Saccharomyces cerevisiae S288C: one gene and its partners. The protein of the gene in region 4 purifies or fractionates together with the protein of the main gene of each other region. This does not show direct contact. Each region holds a gene or a part of one and is shown on either strand. Other genes may lie near its edges.

Region 1 (3,944 bases), on a different chromosome or scaffold from region 4:
TCTTCATCGTCGTTAAATTCCACGTCACCTTCCATAACGTGACCATATTGGCAGGTTCTTCTCCCATCAATGATACGCCAAAGCCGTGAGGGGCAGTTGTCTGTACCGCAGATGGGACCTCTTATGAAAGTAGACATCCTTAAGTGATGTAGGGGTATGTCCGAGTAGTTCGTTCAACTATTTTTAAAGACACATCGTTCCAGGTTTATATTCATATACATATGTATGTATTGTATAGGTTTTTTTATTTTTTATTTTTTATTTTTTTTTTTTTTTTTTTCAATTTTTTTAAGCTTTTCTTACTTTTCCGATGCCCTTTCCACTTTAATCAATATACGTATGAAATTCAGCCGAAGTTTCCGTTTGATAATATATTAGATTCAATATAAAAAAAAGTTTATATGATTCAGTGTATATATATATATATAAATAAGAGGTGCGAAAGCCCACATAAAGAGATTGAAGAGACTGCGTAAAAAGAAATATATAGAGAGATACTCTTAAAAGTCTTCGTTGAAGGTGAAAGCACCGGCTTCTTGCTTAGTCGACTTGGACATAACACCAGCCTTTTGGTAGTCAGAAACTCTCTTTTCGAAGAAGTTGGTCTTACCGGCCAAGGAGATGTTTTCCATGAAATCGAAGGGGTTTTCGACCTTGTAGTATTTCTTGTTACCGAAAGCAACCAACAGTCTGTCGGCGACGAACTCAACGTATTGGTTCATTAAGTCAGCGTTCATACCTAGCAAAGCAACTGGTAAGGCGTCCAAGAAGTATCTTTGTTCAATTTCCACAGCCTCGGTGACAATTTTTTCAACAATGGCTGGGTCTGGTTTGTTCTTCAAATGGGCGAACAACAAGCATGCAAAGTCGGTGTGCAAACCTTCGTCTCTACAGATCAATTCGTTGGAAAAGGTTAAACCGGGCATCATACCTCTCTTTTTCAACCAGAAAATGGAGGCAAAGGAACCGGAGAAAAAGACACCTTCAATGGAGGCAAAGGCAACTAGTCTTTCACCAAACAAGGCGTCAGCGTCTTGAATCCATCTTAAAGCCCATTCGGCCTTCTCACCGATTTCTGGGATGGTGTGAATGGCATTGAACAAGAATTCACTTTCTTTAGGGTCCTTGATGTAAGTATCGATCAACAAGGAGTAAGTTTCAGAGTGAATATTTTCAATCATGATTTGGAAACCGTAGAAACTCTTTGCCTCTGGAATTTGGACTTCGGTGGAGAAGTTTTCAACCAAGTTTTCATTAACAATACCGTCAGAAGCGGCGAAAAAGGCAAGAACTCTGGAAATGAAAAATCTCTCGTTTTCGTTCATTCTGTTGTTCCAGTCATGGATATCCTTAGACAAATCAATTTCTTCAGCGGTCCAGAAAGAAGCTTCGGCACGCTTGTAGGCTTGCCAGATTTCATGGTACTTGATAGGGAAAAGAACAGTTCTCTCCTTGTCTTCATTCAACAAAGGTTCCTCCTTTTCCATTTCCTTAAGTTTGTGACGGTGAACTTGATGAGATTTCAAGTAAGCCTTGTGATTTTCAGCGTCCTTGCTCAATTTCTCCTTAAGCATGTCTGACTTTACTCTGTTTTCCTCTCTCAATGTCTCCAATTCCTTGTTAAGGTTGGACTTGGAATCTTTGATTTCCAAGTCGGACAATGCATCGGCAGCAGCTTTGGAAGGGGTCTCTTTAGGCATGGTAATTGGACAAATAAATACGTGTATTAAGTTTGGATTCTTTGGTAGATAGCCAATCGAGGGAACAATTAAAAAAAAGAAAGAAATAAAAGACAAGAAGAAGAGCGAAAAAGGGGAAAGTGATGAGGAAAAGAACAATAGATAGATCCAGAAGATGATGGTAACGCGCAAACACTACCGCTATATATACCTACAAAACTCTCATTCTCTCATTTCCTGCTTCGTTCATTTCGAGTTTCCAAGGGTATGGTACGGTGCTATCTGCCCGTGCTTCCCCTCCTTTGCTTTGCTAAGAAAAATTTTCTTTTGTCAGCAGCAACAACACGCTACGCTCTGCGCTGTGCTACGAAGTGGTCTCTGTGGCAACGGGGACATTGTACCCATGCCCGCTCGCAGGGAGGTCTGGGTGTGGGGCGTGTGCGACCTCGTTGCCATGGCGATCGCGCGTGGGTGTGGTCTTTCCCCAAACGGTTGCCCGTTGCTCCGGATTTCGCATAGTTGTCGCGTAAACAAAAAACACGAGAGAGGGCGGACGGCGCTGAATAGTGGAAGATCGCGCGATGTCAAGTAAATAAGCTTGTATTTGTATTTGTATGTGTTTATGTGTTTGTGTGGTTGAGAATTTTATTTTCCTCCTAGTTTTTTCTTTTTTGAGTGCGGAGGGGCAGTGCTCTAAACTTTGCCTGCTTCTTGTTCGACTTCGGCTTCCTATGCAGAACGCAAAATCGCGTGCGCGAGGAACGAGGAAGACAACGCTTTAGATTGGCTTTTTCGTCGCCCATGCCCGTTGCGATAGCGATATGATGAGAAATCGATAAAAGGTTGCACCAGTACACCGCACTTTCTGGCGTGCTTGGATCTGGCTTGCGCGGCCTCGTGCCAGTAAGTAGAAAAGTAGTAATATGGCATGGCGAAAGAGAACAAAACAAGCAAAGCAAGCGTAATGCACAGCTGTGGCTAAAAAAAGAGCACAGAGGTGAAGGGAAAAAAAGATAAAGAAATTAAGGAGGTTGAGAGGGCTTGTGTGTCGATGCTTGGTGAGGCGGGACGTAACGGTTTTTTGTCTGTAGGCACTTCTACCCCACAGGGCCATGAATCTGGCCCGAAACCGTTGCGAGCGTGCCAATTGGTGGTGATATCTTTTTTCTTCCCTTTTTTTTTGTTTTCCGTTCTGTTATGTTCCTTCATCTTGAATTCACTAAAGGGAACAGAAGAAAAAGTTGGATATTAGATAAGCGGTACTTTTCTACAGGTCTAGTATTATTCCTCGGTTGGAACAAGAAATAGTGCTTCAGTAGCTCAGTAGGAAGAGCGTCAGTCTCATAATCTGAAGGTCGAGAGTTCGAACCTCCCCTGGAGCATATTTTTATACGTATATCTTTTTTCCCTCTATTTTGTTTTTTTTTTCTTTGTTTTTTCGTAGCTAGTAAAGAAGAGAAGGAGACCTAAAGTGTATATATACTTAATCTGCGATCATTGAAAAGTCGCTAGCTTATTGTCACTTACTGCATTTTCACAACATCTTCCATTTTTGTTTTCTCAGAAGGACAATGCTGGAAGGTACGGTAGATTATGACCCGCTGGAAGATATTACCAATATACTTTTTTCAAAAGAATCCCTGAACAACATAGATGAACTGATCAGTATTACCAGAAGCTACAAAAAGCAATTGCAAGAGGATATTCTCAAAGAAGAGAATGAATTGAAGGAACACCCTAAAAATTCCGCTGAAATAGAGGCTTCTCTGAGGAAAGTTTTCCAAGATTTCAAAGAAACTCAAGATGTCTCAGCCTCCACCGAGTTGACGATATCGAATCTGACAGAAGGTATCTCGTACCTGGACATTGCCAAGAAAAACCTCACCCACTCTTTGACTCTTTTCCAAAATTTAAAGATATTGACAGACAGTTACATACAATGCAATGAATTACTCTCACAGGGCTCATTCAAAAAAATGGTGTCCCCTTATAAGATAATGTGTTCGCTTGCTGAAAACACATTCATCTCTTACAAATCATTGGACGAGATAAACTATTTGTTGAGCTCCATTTCAAGACTGAAAGGAGACACTTTGTCCAAAATTAAACAAAACTACAATGCGCTCTTTTCCGGCGGCAATATCTCAGAGCATGATACAGCACTCACTATGGAATTGCGCGAAGGTGCCTGCGAGCTACTCGACTGCGATACAAGTACGAGAGCCCAGATGATAGATTGGTGTTTGGACAAACTTCTCTTCGAAA
Region 2 (4,372 bases), on a different chromosome or scaffold from region 4:
GCAGAGATGAGGTAAAGTTGATGTAAAATTCAGAATACTTGTCGCTTTTCAAGTCATTGACTATAATGTCAATGTTTTCCTTTGTGGGGGAGACGAAATATATGGCAGGGACATCTGGCAAGGGAGATCTGTCTTGTTTAATCAAGGAATGAACGGTGATACCAGCTTTCAGCAGGTCATTGACTCTGAGAACAGAAGATATGGTAGCAGTGCTCTTGATGTCCAGTATCAACACCTTCCAGATGATCTCCTGCTGGTTAAAAATATCGTCTGTGATGGTGGTGATGTTGTCGTTGTTGTTCAAATCCTTATTTAAAAACAGCATTTTTAATATGGCAGAGATTTGCATATCTCTTAAACTAATGTCCTTGCGGGACGCAATTTCCTCCACAGCCATGATGTTGTGATTTTTGGTCAAAGATACTTAGCAACTGGCAATGACTATTATAAGTTATCATGTCAGGTTATTAAAGGCTGAGTTAGAATGGTGCTTCTTTTTTTTGTTTTTTTTTTGTCGTTTCTGCAATTACTGTGGTCAACGCGAAGAGGGAAACGGTGTTCTTTGGCAAAAATTGGTATGATATTTTATATAATAAATGTATATATACAAAATATGATGATGATGATAGTGACTGGAAAAAATATGTTACATAGAATTTTTGTATCTGACTACTATTACTACTAGTATTCGTGTTCTTGTTATTATTATTATTATTATTATTTTTTATTACTGTGGTGTTTCTTTCAAAGTGGATCTACCTGCCCTTAACAATTCATCGCATAATAACAAGTTGCTGGCAATACCTGTAGCACCGGTAATAGCATTTCTTAGTACGCGGTAGGAATCCCAAATACCCTCGATGGTAGGGTCGCAAGAATCACCTATGTTCAAGTCCACACCAACATATCTCGTTTCGTCAGAATCCTGAGCGTCATCCAACTCGTCCTCCACCATTGCGAGCACGTCCAATGGGTCGAATCCTGAGTTCTTCACCAAAGTCTTTGGAATTACCAGCAATGCTTCTGCGAACGCCTCAATACCTGTCTTTGTTTTACCCTTGGCACCCAACTTGTTCATGTTGGCAGATCTTAGGTATCTCGAAAGGGCGATGTAGAACGCACCAGCGCCTGGAATGATGTTTTTGTCCTTGAGAACGTTTGCCACAGCTCTGAGACCATCTCTCACCGCATCCTTTGTTTGAGCGAGGGCATAATGAGTGGAGCCCTTGATTAAGATGGTGCAAGACTTGGGGTCAGTGTTCTCTGTAACGTATGTGAATTTTTCCTCGCCTATGGTTTCTTGGTAGACCAAGCCAGAAAACCCAAGAATCTGAGGCGACAAGTCTTCCACAGAGTTCTGAGCTTCACCGCCAGTGACCAATTGCAATCTTTCCATGTTACGTCTCTTGGCCCTTCTCAAAGCCAAGATGTTGTGTTTGGCAAACACGTCTAAAGACATGGGGTCAATGCCTTTTTGGTTAATGATAACAAAACCCTTGTCTGGATCCATGCCACAAACTTCGTTTTTCAAGTCGATGATCTTCTTCAACTTGGCATCCACAAACTTCCTCTCACTAGCGGCCAACTTGTCCCTTTGGTCCGCAGAACTGTAAAAGAACCCAGAGTTAACTTCAGTCTTCTCGTATTCCAAAGATACGTTCAAAATCAAAACATACGCGTTCTTCACACGGGTGGGCATGTCAGGATGCCTACCACCGTGGTCCAATACCAAACCCTTAATAAAAGTGGTATCTTTAGGAGACAAGTGCTGCATCTGCATGATCTCAACCATGTGTAAATCCAAATTGTCAGCCTGCGCGTCGTACACGCTTAGCACCGCATCCGTTACAATGGGCGTCAAGACCTCCGTCAAGTCAGCGTCCACCTTGGTTAGCAGCGACGACCGGGCCACTTGCAGAAGGAACTCTCTATCATTGGAAAGGTTCGTCTTACTGATCTTGAATTCGTCCAAAAATTTCATGGACTCCTTCCGCGCAATCTCAAACCCATCAGTGATGATCCGCGGATGCACGCCCTCTTGAATGAAACGGTGCGCTTGTCTAAGCAATTCACCCACAAGACACACAACCGTCGTGGTCCCATCGCCCGTGATTTCATCCTGCGCGGCAGCTGCCCTAGCAATCAGTACCGCTGTAGGCGACTGGATCTGCATCTCGGTCAGCAACACTTTACCGTCCTTGGTCAGCTTGATGTTACCAGCACCATCCACAAGCATCTTTAGCGTGCCCTTAGGGCCCAAGTTGGTCTCTAGGACGGATTGTAAGCCCTCAGCAGATGTGACGTTAACCTTCAAAGCCGCATCCCTTCTCAACGATTCAGCCTTCGGATTCAACAATTGCAATGACATGCTTCTACTCTACTTATATTATAATCTTCTGCTTCTCACTGCTTCCACACCCTTAACCTTTACCTTTTCCACACACTGCACACATACACTGTTATACATAATCCTTTCCGTCTTTCGTTCGTTTCTTACCAGAATAACAACTACTAACACATCACCGAGCGAAAATTTTGCCACCAAAGCAAAACTCCCGTAAACAGTGATCCACGGCCCGTATCCATTCTGCCGCAGAACCCACACCTCTCACTCTATCGAAAAACAGCCTACTCCCAGGGTCCCCAAAATGAAAGCTCACTGCAATGGGAAACGATAATCACAACAAGGGAATGCAATTAAAGAAAGATATACGGTACACGAAAGGGAGAAGCGACGGCGTTAACCTATTTGCAAACGACCGAGTCAGACAGCTCAGGTCCAGTCACGTTAAAGTGGGTTACTTTGAGCTGAGGTGTGCGGTTGCGGGGCGTGGGTGTGCGCGCCGTTGCCATGCTTACCGTTCTCGTTGCGCTCGTTGCTCGTATTGCCTCGTCTGTTCTTGTCTCGTAGCTTTTTTATTATTTGGGTTAATCGCGTTGTTGAACAAGAAAGTATGATAGTTGTTGAACCGGCCCCTCGTCCCGTTCTATCTTTCTACGGGTGTCGTGTCTATTATTTTATTGTTTTCCTACTAAGGTTCTTTGCTATTGTTCTTTTAATTTTTGGTTTGTAGCTGACTACACGTTTCAAACCCAATCTTGGCAGCCCGGATCTTCATCACTCAGCTTTTCCCTACTTTTTTTTTTTTTCGTTTCCTTTTTCTTCTTTTCTTTTTCTATTTAAGAGAGAAGTTGGCGAACTTGAAGTACACATACACGCTCTCCCTCGCATCCCGGAGCTCGCAATCAACCACTATTACTAATCACATCCTAAATTTTGGGAAGCCTACACTACGATGGACACTGTCGGTACGGACGCAGCAGCCGCGAGCATTAATGAGCGTCGCTTTGCCCAGTCCACTTCACCAAAAGTTAGTGTGAAGTCACAGGACTCGCTGTTTCTGATCACTTACTCCAACATGCAGCAGACAGTGGTACAAGCGTCTTTGGCGGACCGGTACCCTTCGCTAAAGAAGCTTAACATCCTACTTTACATAGATATCCCTACGATCGACTACTACAACGATGAGATGACTCATAACAAGCTTTCCAGACTGAATAAACGGTTTAAGCTGCATCGGCTTAGAAATTCGATCGCGCAAAGTTTTTCCAACACATCTACTGCGGAAGATAACGATAAGTTTTGGGAGGAGTTGAAAAGTCTGATCAGCTCTCGCAGCACACCGGAAAACAAGTTTGATCTGAATGTACTGGTGTCGTCTTCGGGGTCTTTACGTTACGTGGAGACCATAAGATTTTTGGTTGAAAAATTGTTTAATTCTTTCAAAGACTTGTATGTTCAAAAGAAACTAAACCTATGTTTCCAGATCAACGTTTCTCCCACCTCTCTCAAGTGGTTTTCTACTTTCCTGAACGCAGAACTGCTTAATTTAAAAATCATTAATTGGCAGAATATTGGTTCTTTCACTAAGACAATCCAGAACTCCAAGTCACTCCCGTTCAAAGAGTACTACACCAAGTTGAACGAGAAATTCACCGGCTCAAACCAGAGCAATGGTAGCATGCAAGACCAGACTGTCTTGGATTCCATAGTTATTGTCACGAATAGCACGGGGGTAAAAGCACTGCTGACTTTGTTGTCAGACCACCCTCTCACCAGCCTTATCTCCCAGGAATCAATAAAAGCGCTACATGAATATTCAGATGCTGTTAACGAAGATAAGGGCGACGACCAGAGCAACACAAGTTTGAAAAGAAACTCTTCGTCGTTGTTGAATTTTCAAAACTCGGTTTTAACCTCCAATAAAGACAAGTCCGTCAGAATTAGGTCGTTGTCTATCAACAGAAAATCCAACAGGGCACATATGTTCAAAACGAACGAATCCATCACAACTATCCCATCAACGTCAAT
Region 3 (4,272 bases), on a different chromosome or scaffold from region 4:
GAATTAAGAATTGGCATGCCTGAAACTTTGTTGGATTCATGATATACAGTAGCATTCTTTTCCTTGCAGTTTCTCTTAAATACTCTTGGTAAAATTCTGCTGTCATGGGACACCAAACCTCTGCACATTGGACATTTGCAATATGTCCTTTTTGGGATAATTCCATCCAATTTGCTTCATAAAGTTTTGGACCAATTAAAAAATTCAGATCACCAATTTTATCATCTTCTCTAACCAGCGTTGCGGTCAGTCCCAATTTGGCGTGTGCTGCGATGGTGGAGACCACCCTACGGAACATTGCGGCGGGCACCACATGAACTTCGTCAAGAATAATGAACCCCCATTCCCTACCGGTCAAGAAATCCATAACTTTTTGTGAATCATGAGACCTGTTTCTTGTGTTTGCCACCATTGAATAAGTGGAAACAACCAAACCGGATTCTGTCTGGAACATTTCCTTATTATCAGAGGTGAAAACAGCACAATTTTCAGGTTGTAAGGTACACCATTGTAAAAATTGCTGCCTCCATTGCATGACGGAGACTGATGAAGTACATAAAACAATTACGGATTTTTTTATAGTACATGCTGCGGTAATACCGACCAAAGTTTTACCTGCGCCACATGGCAAAACAATAATCCCTGAACGAGCACGCCCATTACCAAACATTTTACTCAGCGATTTTTCTTGATAGGGTCTGATTTGAGTGGAAGGTTTCAAATCAATATCTAAATCCGGGTTTCTATGGTCGTTTCTAAAGTCGTATTCTTCCAACACGGGATAATCGATTTCTTGACATCTTTTCTTTACGACTTCAACAGACTCATTGGCAATTTCAAAGGAGTGAACGGCATCAATATCATCATCTTCTTCTTCCCGCTCATTATCACCACCTATAACTGCACTAAACACGGCTTCCACATCGTTCGGATTAACATTAGTAGCGGGTTTTCCAGCGGTTTGCTGAAGTTGTTGCTGTAGTACATCCTCTGGTGGCTGTACTTGATGATCGCTATCTATTCTTAGGGGCCCGATGACGGAATCATTCAGCAACATTTGCAGAATATCTGCTTGTGTAGTCTCCACGAAATATCTATTATGCTTAATAACTAGTTTCACTTTACCGTATGAAATGGTAGCCCCTTTAATGAAGTTGATTATCGATTCAGCAACGGGTACTTTGGATAATCTATCCAGAACTGAAATGATATCATCCGTCTCCAACCCTACAGAAACAGCTGCATACAAAGAGTATGCTGTGATCTTGTATTCATGAATATGGGAGGGTCTACTTATAGGCTCTGCAATGGTGACCAGAAAGTCCTGAGCCTGTTCTGCTAATGGAGAGAAACTCTCCAGAATGATCCTACCGTCACTTGGCGAGATCCAAAGGGGCCTGGAAGCATGGTCTGGTCTTAACCGCAAATAACTAAAGTCATGGCTTCTGAACATTCCAGAGACGGAATCTGGAACGAAATCTGCTGGTATATCGCTATTAGTGTCCTGCAAAAGCGCTTTATCCTTAGCGTCCATTTGATTCATAGAGGAATCCGCCGCTGTATGCCTGCTACTCTTGGTCTTTTTCCGAGGCTTCTTCAACCCTGTTACCATGGCGCCGGTATCCCTTTCTCCACGTCCTTCTGACGTTTCCCTGTTATCATCATAGTTCTCATCGATCTCTGCATCAGTAGCTGGTGAATCCTCATCTGATGAGAAAAAGGACTCACCCATATCTGGAAAGATTTTCCCCTTGCTCTTAGGTTGGTAGCCTTCAACGTCCGTCATGATTTATCTTCCACTGATTCCAACGTCAGTAGATGCTACTTTTACTAAATAATGTAGATATCATTACTATTATCTATCCTTACTAAGGACCTTTTTCCTTATACTTCTTAGAAGAAAAACCTCGTTTCTAACGATCTGAAATTTTTTTCTCTTCGCGGTGGCGAGTTTAAAAGACAAGAGCAGAGCAATAAAAAAGAGGATGAAAGGTGGCCATTAAATAGGCAAGAAGAGTCAGTCGTACAAAGCTCAAAAGATTCAGGATGAGTGTACAGATATTTGGAGACCAGGTTACAGAAGAAAGAGCGGAAAACGCCCGTTTGTCGGCGTTTGTCGGTGCCATTGCCGTGGGTGATTTGGTGAAAAGCACATTAGGCCCAAAAGGGATGGATAAATTATTGCAAAGTGCGTCCAGTAACACTTGCATGGTAACAAACGATGGTGCTACGATTCTGAAGTCAATTCCGCTGGATAATCCCGCAGCCAAAGTGTTGGTGAACATCAGTAAGGTGCAGGATGACGAAGTTGGAGATGGTACCACTAGTGTTACTGTTTTGAGCGCAGAGTTGCTTAGAGAAGCAGAGAAGTTGATTGATCAATCCAAAATCCACCCTCAAACTATTATTGAAGGTTACCGACTAGCTTCAGCAGCCGCATTGGATGCGTTAACGAAAGCGGCTGTTGACAACTCTCATGATAAGACCATGTTCCGTGAAGATCTGATCCATATTGCCAAGACTACTTTATCTTCCAAAATTTTGTCTCAGGATAAGGATCACTTCGCAGAATTAGCAACTAATGCTATTTTGAGATTGAAGGGCTCCACTAACTTAGAACATATTCAGATCATTAAGATTCTTGGTGGAAAGCTATCAGATTCGTTCCTTGACGAAGGTTTCATTCTTGCCAAAAAATTTGGTAACAACCAACCCAAGAGAATTGAAAATGCTAAGATTCTAATCGCCAATACAACTTTGGATACAGACAAGGTCAAAATATTCGGCACCAAATTCAAAGTCGATTCTACTGCTAAATTGGCACAACTAGAAAAGGCAGAACGTGAAAAGATGAAGAATAAAATTGCCAAGATTTCCAAGTTTGGTATCAACACTTTCATCAATAGACAACTAATTTATGACTATCCAGAGCAATTATTTACAGATTTGGGCATAAACTCAATTGAGCATGCTGATTTTGAAGGTGTAGAAAGGCTCGCCCTGGTTACAGGCGGTGAGGTGGTGTCTACATTTGACGAGCCAAGTAAATGCAAACTGGGAGAATGTGACGTGATCGAGGAAATTATGCTTGGTGAACAGCCATTCTTGAAGTTTAGTGGTTGCAAAGCTGGTGAAGCTTGTACCATCGTCCTAAGAGGTGCTACCGACCAAACGCTTGATGAAGCTGAGAGATCCCTGCATGACGCATTGTCCGTGTTGTCACAGACCACAAAGGAAACAAGAACTGTTCTTGGCGGCGGTTGCGCCGAGATGGTCATGTCAAAAGCTGTGGACACCGAAGCTCAAAACATCGACGGAAAGAAGTCCCTTGCCGTGGAGGCTTTTGCCCGTGCTCTGAGACAACTGCCAACCATTTTGGCAGATAATGCTGGTTTTGACAGCAGCGAACTTGTGTCCAAACTAAGATCCTCCATATACAACGGTATCTCCACCTCAGGTTTAGATCTCAACAACGGAACCATTGCCGACATGAGACAGTTAGGTATCGTCGAGAGTTACAAGCTAAAACGAGCAGTAGTCAGCTCTGCATCTGAAGCCGCTGAAGTTCTACTAAGGGTGGATAACATCATCCGTGCAAGACCAAGAACCGCCAATAGACAACATATGTAACATATTTAGGATATACCTCGAAAATAATAAACCGCCACACTGTCATTATTATAATTAGAAACAGAACGCAAAAATTATCCACTATATAATTCAAAGACGCGAAAAAAAAAGAACAACGCGTCATAGAACTTTTGGCAATTCGCGTCACAAATAAATTTTGGCAACTTATGTTTCCTCTTCGAGCAGTACTCGAGCCCTGTCTCAAGAATGTAATAATACCCATCGTAGGTATGGTTAAAGATAGCATCTCCACAACCTCAAAGCTCCTTGCCGAGAGTCGCCCTCCTTTGTCGAGTAATTTTCACTTTTCATATGAGAACTTATTTTCTTATTCTTTACTCTCACATCCTGTAGTGATTGACACTGCAACAGCCACCATCACTAGAAGAACAGAACAATTACTTAATAGAAAAATTATATCTTCCTCGAAACGATTTCCTGCTTCCAACATCTACGTATATCAAGAAGCATTCACTTACCATGACACAGCTTCAGATTTCATTATTGCTGACAGCTACTATATCACTACTCCATCTAGTAGTGGCCACGCCCTATGAGGCATATCCTATCGGAAAACAATACCCCCCAGTGGCAAGAGTCAATGAATCGTTTACATTTCAAATTTCCAATGATACCTATAAA
Region 4 (4,144 bases):
ACTGTGAATTTATGCTGAGCGAAGGTAAAGATGGCGGTGCAGGCCTCTTCTTCATTGTATTTAAAGTCATTGAAGAGTCGCTAGGATGAAGTCGAGTTTGGGAGAAAAGTGTCGATGTGGAAGAGGTCAGTGGTTCTGGGGTGTGGCTACTGTAAGCTGTGGTGGAACTCCCATTCGACGTCAAGTATATATTATTTTCATCTACCTGATTATTTCGTAAGAGGGGCAGTTTAAGTCTAGGAGAGTTTGGGTTGCATTTCGCAGATTCTGGGGGTCTGAACAGTGAAGCCATACTGGGCAAATTGTGCAATGGAAGGATAGAGTTAATTTGGTCTATGTACACTGCGAGAAATACGCAACCATAAATGAAACGCAAGTTATGAAAAACCGGATCCAACCCTACCAGAGACCAACTTTCTTTTTAAATTGTGCCAAATTTTTGCTGCCCTTTAAAATAGAACTTCCTTATTCTGAGCCGTCACACGCCTTAATGATAATCAGTCGATCCGATTTTTCAATTGTCGCAATGACCTGAGAAATATAATTGCTCGTGTATAGTGACTTATTCGCCAGCAGGTGTACGGTATCTTTCATCAGTAGTAAGTATTGTTTAATTAAATATTGAATAATAAATATACTAACAGTAGCTCATACATAACTTTAGGCGCGCACTTTCATCACACAGGGTAAAGAAACCAGCCCTGGGTGAGAAAAACTAATAATAGTTAAAAGCATTAAATATATAAATATGGCCTTGTTCCGCGCGTTTAGCATGGCGACTATTCGCTTTCCTCGGTATAGGGCTTGTAGATGCTGACTAAACTATCGTCATCGACAGTACCAACCAAGTTTTCAATAACTGGATGCCAAGCGGCGGTGTTTCTTCTTCCAATCTGTTTTGGAGATCTTCTGCTTCCACCCTTGTGCAAGAATCTCAGAGATTTTGTTTGTGATTCTTCAGTGGCATCTTGAGGAGGAGCAATGGTATCGTCAGGATTGTACTTTGACAAGGAATAGTCAGTGTTCCAGTGGTAAATATTACCAGTGCCGCCCACAGTAAAGAATTCAGAGCTTGAAGTGGCAGAAAATTGGACGTCGACAACAGAATCACCGCCGGCATGATAGAAGTTAGCGATTTCATTCTGAATTGGATCTTCACCGTTTTGTCTATAAGTCAAATCAGTGGTGGCAGCTTCAGCCGCTCTGGCATCCCATAACTTGATAATACCCGTACTGAAACCGGTAACAAACAAGTTGTTGGAAACCTGAGAGCAATCAAACGAGGTCAATTTTCCGTTCTTTGGTTCTCCCAACACCCATATAGGCTTGTCGGAAGTTCTAGTGTCCCAGAACCTCAGAATATTGTCATCTGAACAAGACGCAAAGATATGATTGTCGAAAAATCTTACGGTGTGAGTCACAGTGGTACCAGGCACATGAACAGTACGTAGAATCTCACCAGGCTTACCGGCATTGTCAATGATTTTCAAAATACTGTCTTCTTCATCACCATTACTCTGAGACTTCACAATGGTTTCGGTATCATTGGAAATGCCGAAGTCAGAGATGGCTAATGAGAAATCCTTTTCAGGTAGATCACCAGGTCTGGTTAAAGAATGGATGCTGGCATAGCTGGTTGCTGGACCCATCAATTCCTGTACAATGTGAATAGGGACCTTTATACCCTCTTTGAACCAAGCCAACGACCCGTTCTTAGACATCGACAATAATGTAGTTTCTCCAGTCTTATCTAAGTAGGCCATTTTGGAGACAGTTTCACCCTGGTACACGAATTTTGGGCTCAACGAGGTGTTTTCAATACCTTCAAAGGCGTCACCATAGTCTTTCACCGGTTCTGAAGCGGCTTCTTGTAGTGGTACAGCGAAGTCAATTTCGTAGATATCACTACCTTGAGAGTATATAACACTTGAGGTTAGAGTGTTATTTTTTTTATCTGGAACAACAACGTTGCTGAACGTCAAGGACTTCCTTTGGTGCAGAACATTGTCCACACGAGACACAAATTTTGGTCTTAAGCTGGAGATATGTTCATAAGTGGAAGGCGTAGATGATTTCCAAACCTTTTTTGGCATTTTTGGTTGTAATGTATAGTGTGTTACAATTTATTTGTATCTTTCAAGATTGGTTGATTAATAATTAATTTTCTTATCTAATATCTACAATTCAGGCGAATATAAACTTTTCGGATCTTCTTTTTTCCCTCCCTTTATACTGGAAGCTACAGAACTGAAAAAAAAAAAAAAAAAACATAGAACATTAAGGGGACAGACTGCATGGAAAAGGAAAAGGTAAAAAAAAGCCCCGAAATGGTACTCTTAAATATGAGATGATAAACGAGGATTCGAAGGAAAATAGCCCAACTATCTACGAGTTGAAATTAAAAGGGAGTAGTGAGCGCCACTATGTGTGCTCACTGTGTATAGCTAAGCAATTACATAAGGGATAGTACATAAACCACCGTATGTTAGGAAAGAGGAAAAAAAGGAAAGACAAAGGTCTTTTGCCTATTGTATGACTTAGCCTTTCTTTGTTATACCCCGGCGCGTTCCAAAAAGGGAAGCCAGCACAGCACCGCATATTGAATACCGCCTTCTCACGTGGTACAGGCACAACTATCTTGCATGTGCCTCTGGGTCTTTCTTAGCGACAGCCTTTTAAGATTCTGAATTGTAAACATCGAGCTTCATCCGAGAAACGAAAGAGGGAATCTTGAAATGGACTATGTCACCATTAGATCCTCCCTCTTCTCCATATAGCCGGTTTTTGTCTTATTTCTTTGCTGGAAAGAAAAAAAAGAAATTGCTTGGTTAATTACTGGTAACCCTCTTTTCTTGAGGCCTTACTTCGTTGGCTTCAGAAATCTGAAAGAGTCTTTATTAGGAGCGATACCAGTATCTATACAACATTATACCATCACTATATATTACAAAAAAAAAAATAACCCCGATAGCGTGCTAGAAATGAATAAAAAAAAAAAAAACAGAATTATGTACGTGAATGCTTGTGAGTTACTGCCTTTCCCATAGGTGGTAACGTTAATTTCTTACTCTTTTTTTTTTTTAATCGTCGTAACCTCTGCCAATGAAGTCACTGGCCAGAAATGGTTTGTAGGCAGTAACAAGACTATCTGAATCAACAGTGCCAACAAAATCATTGATTACGGGGTGTAGCGCCACAGTGTTCCTCTTCCCGAATTGGTTGCTCGATCTTCTTGTGCCACCTGTGTGGAAAAATTTTAAACATTGACCCTGAAGTTCCTCCGGAGCAGCCACTCGAACTTCGTCTTCGTTGTCATCGTCGTTTCTTGAAAAAGAGTACTCCATGTCCCAGTGGTAGACATTACCCGTTCCTCCAACCGTAACAAATTCTGTTGCAGAGGTTTGTGAGAACAGGATATCGACAACGGAATCGCCGCCAGAATGGAACAACTTGGCTATTTCGTTTTGGATCGGTTCCTCGCCGTTCTGCCTATGTGTGAGGTCAGTAGTAGCCAGTTGCACAGCACGCGCATCCCATAGCTTGATGACACCCGTGCTGAACCCAGTGACAAATAGGTTTTCAGTAACTTGAGAGGAATCGAAGGACGTTAGTCGTCCATTTTTCGGTTCGCTTAGCGTCCAAAGCGGTTTGTCCGCTGTTCTTGTGTCCCAGAATCTTAAAATGTTGTCATCTGAACAAGATGCAAATAAATGGTTGTTAAAAAATCTAACTGAGTGAGCCACGTTGGTCCCTGGAACGTGCACTGTACGTAATATATCTCCCGGTCTATCGGAGTTGTCGATGATTTTCAAGATGCTGTCCTCCTCGTAGCCGTTACTTTGTGACTTTACTACCGTATCCATATTTGTCGACACATCAAAATCTGACACTGCTAATGAACCTGGTCTGGTTAGAGAGTGAATACTAGAGTATCTAGTAGCAGGGCCCATCATTTCCTGTACGATATGAACGGGAACCTTGATCTCATCTCTGAACCATGCCAAAGAGCCGTTCTTGGACATCGCGATCGCCGTACTGTCGTCTGAGCTTTCCAAGTATTGCATTTTTGCCACTGTTTCGCCCTGGTAAATCCACTTTGGGCGCAATGGTTTCCCCTCAACATCTTGGAAAGCATCACCATACT

Evidence for each region.
Region 1: the proteins of WTM1 (region 4) and RNR2 purify together in Saccharomyces cerevisiae (affinity purification with western blotting; 5 studies listed by BioGRID, with this or other methods). This does not show direct contact.
Region 2: the proteins of WTM1 (region 4) and CCT6 purify together in Saccharomyces cerevisiae (affinity purification with mass spectrometry, with the first as the bait; 2 studies listed by BioGRID). This does not show direct contact.
Region 3: the proteins of WTM1 (region 4) and CCT2 purify together in Saccharomyces cerevisiae (affinity purification with mass spectrometry, with the first as the bait; 2 studies listed by BioGRID). This does not show direct contact.

The regions. Positions count from the first base shown.
Region 1 is NC_001142.9:390,160-394,103, reverse strand, and holds RNR2 (ribonucleotide-diphosphate reductase subunit RNR2), read right to left. Parts: upstream 1,701-3,944; coding exon 501-1,700; downstream 1-500. Other genes in the region: RRN7 (Rrn7p), read right to left, coding at 1-137; YJL027C (uncharacterized protein), read left to right, coding at 1,855-2,271; YJL028W (uncharacterized protein), read right to left, coding at 2,458-2,793; VPS53 (Vps53p), read left to right, coding at 3,251-3,944. UniProt on the Saccharomyces cerevisiae protein: Provides the precursors necessary for DNA synthesis. Catalyzes the biosynthesis of deoxyribonucleotides from the corresponding ribonucleotides. RNR2 provides the diiron-tyrosyl radical center.
Region 2 is NC_001136.10:834,417-838,788, reverse strand, and holds CCT6 (chaperonin-containing T-complex subunit CCT6), read right to left. Parts: upstream 2,369-4,372; coding exon 728-2,368; downstream 1-727. Other genes in the region: SLY1 (syntaxin-binding protein), read right to left, coding at 1-397; SND1 (Snd1p), read left to right, coding at 3,297-4,372. UniProt on the Saccharomyces cerevisiae protein: Molecular chaperone; assists the folding of proteins upon ATP hydrolysis. Known to play a role, in vitro, in the folding of actin and tubulin. In yeast may play a role in mitotic spindle formation.
Region 3 is NC_001141.2:81,256-85,527, forward strand, and holds CCT2 (chaperonin-containing T-complex subunit CCT2), read left to right. Parts: upstream 1-2,046; coding exon 2,047-3,630; downstream 3,631-4,272. Other genes in the region: TFIIH/NER complex ATPase/helicase subunit SSL2, read right to left, coding at 1-1,786; AXL2 (Axl2p), read left to right, coding at 4,111-4,272. UniProt on the Saccharomyces cerevisiae protein: Molecular chaperone; assists the folding of proteins upon ATP hydrolysis. Known to play a role, in vitro, in the folding of actin and tubulin. In yeast may play a role in mitotic spindle formation.
Region 4 is NC_001147.6:768,749-772,892, reverse strand, and holds WTM1 (transcriptional modulator), read right to left. Parts: upstream 2,094-4,144; coding exon 780-2,093; downstream 1-779. Other genes in the region: mitogen-activated protein kinase kinase MKK1, read right to left, coding at 1-292; WTM2 (transcriptional modulator), read right to left, coding at 3,081-4,144. UniProt on the Saccharomyces cerevisiae protein: Transcriptional modulator with roles in meiotic regulation and silencing.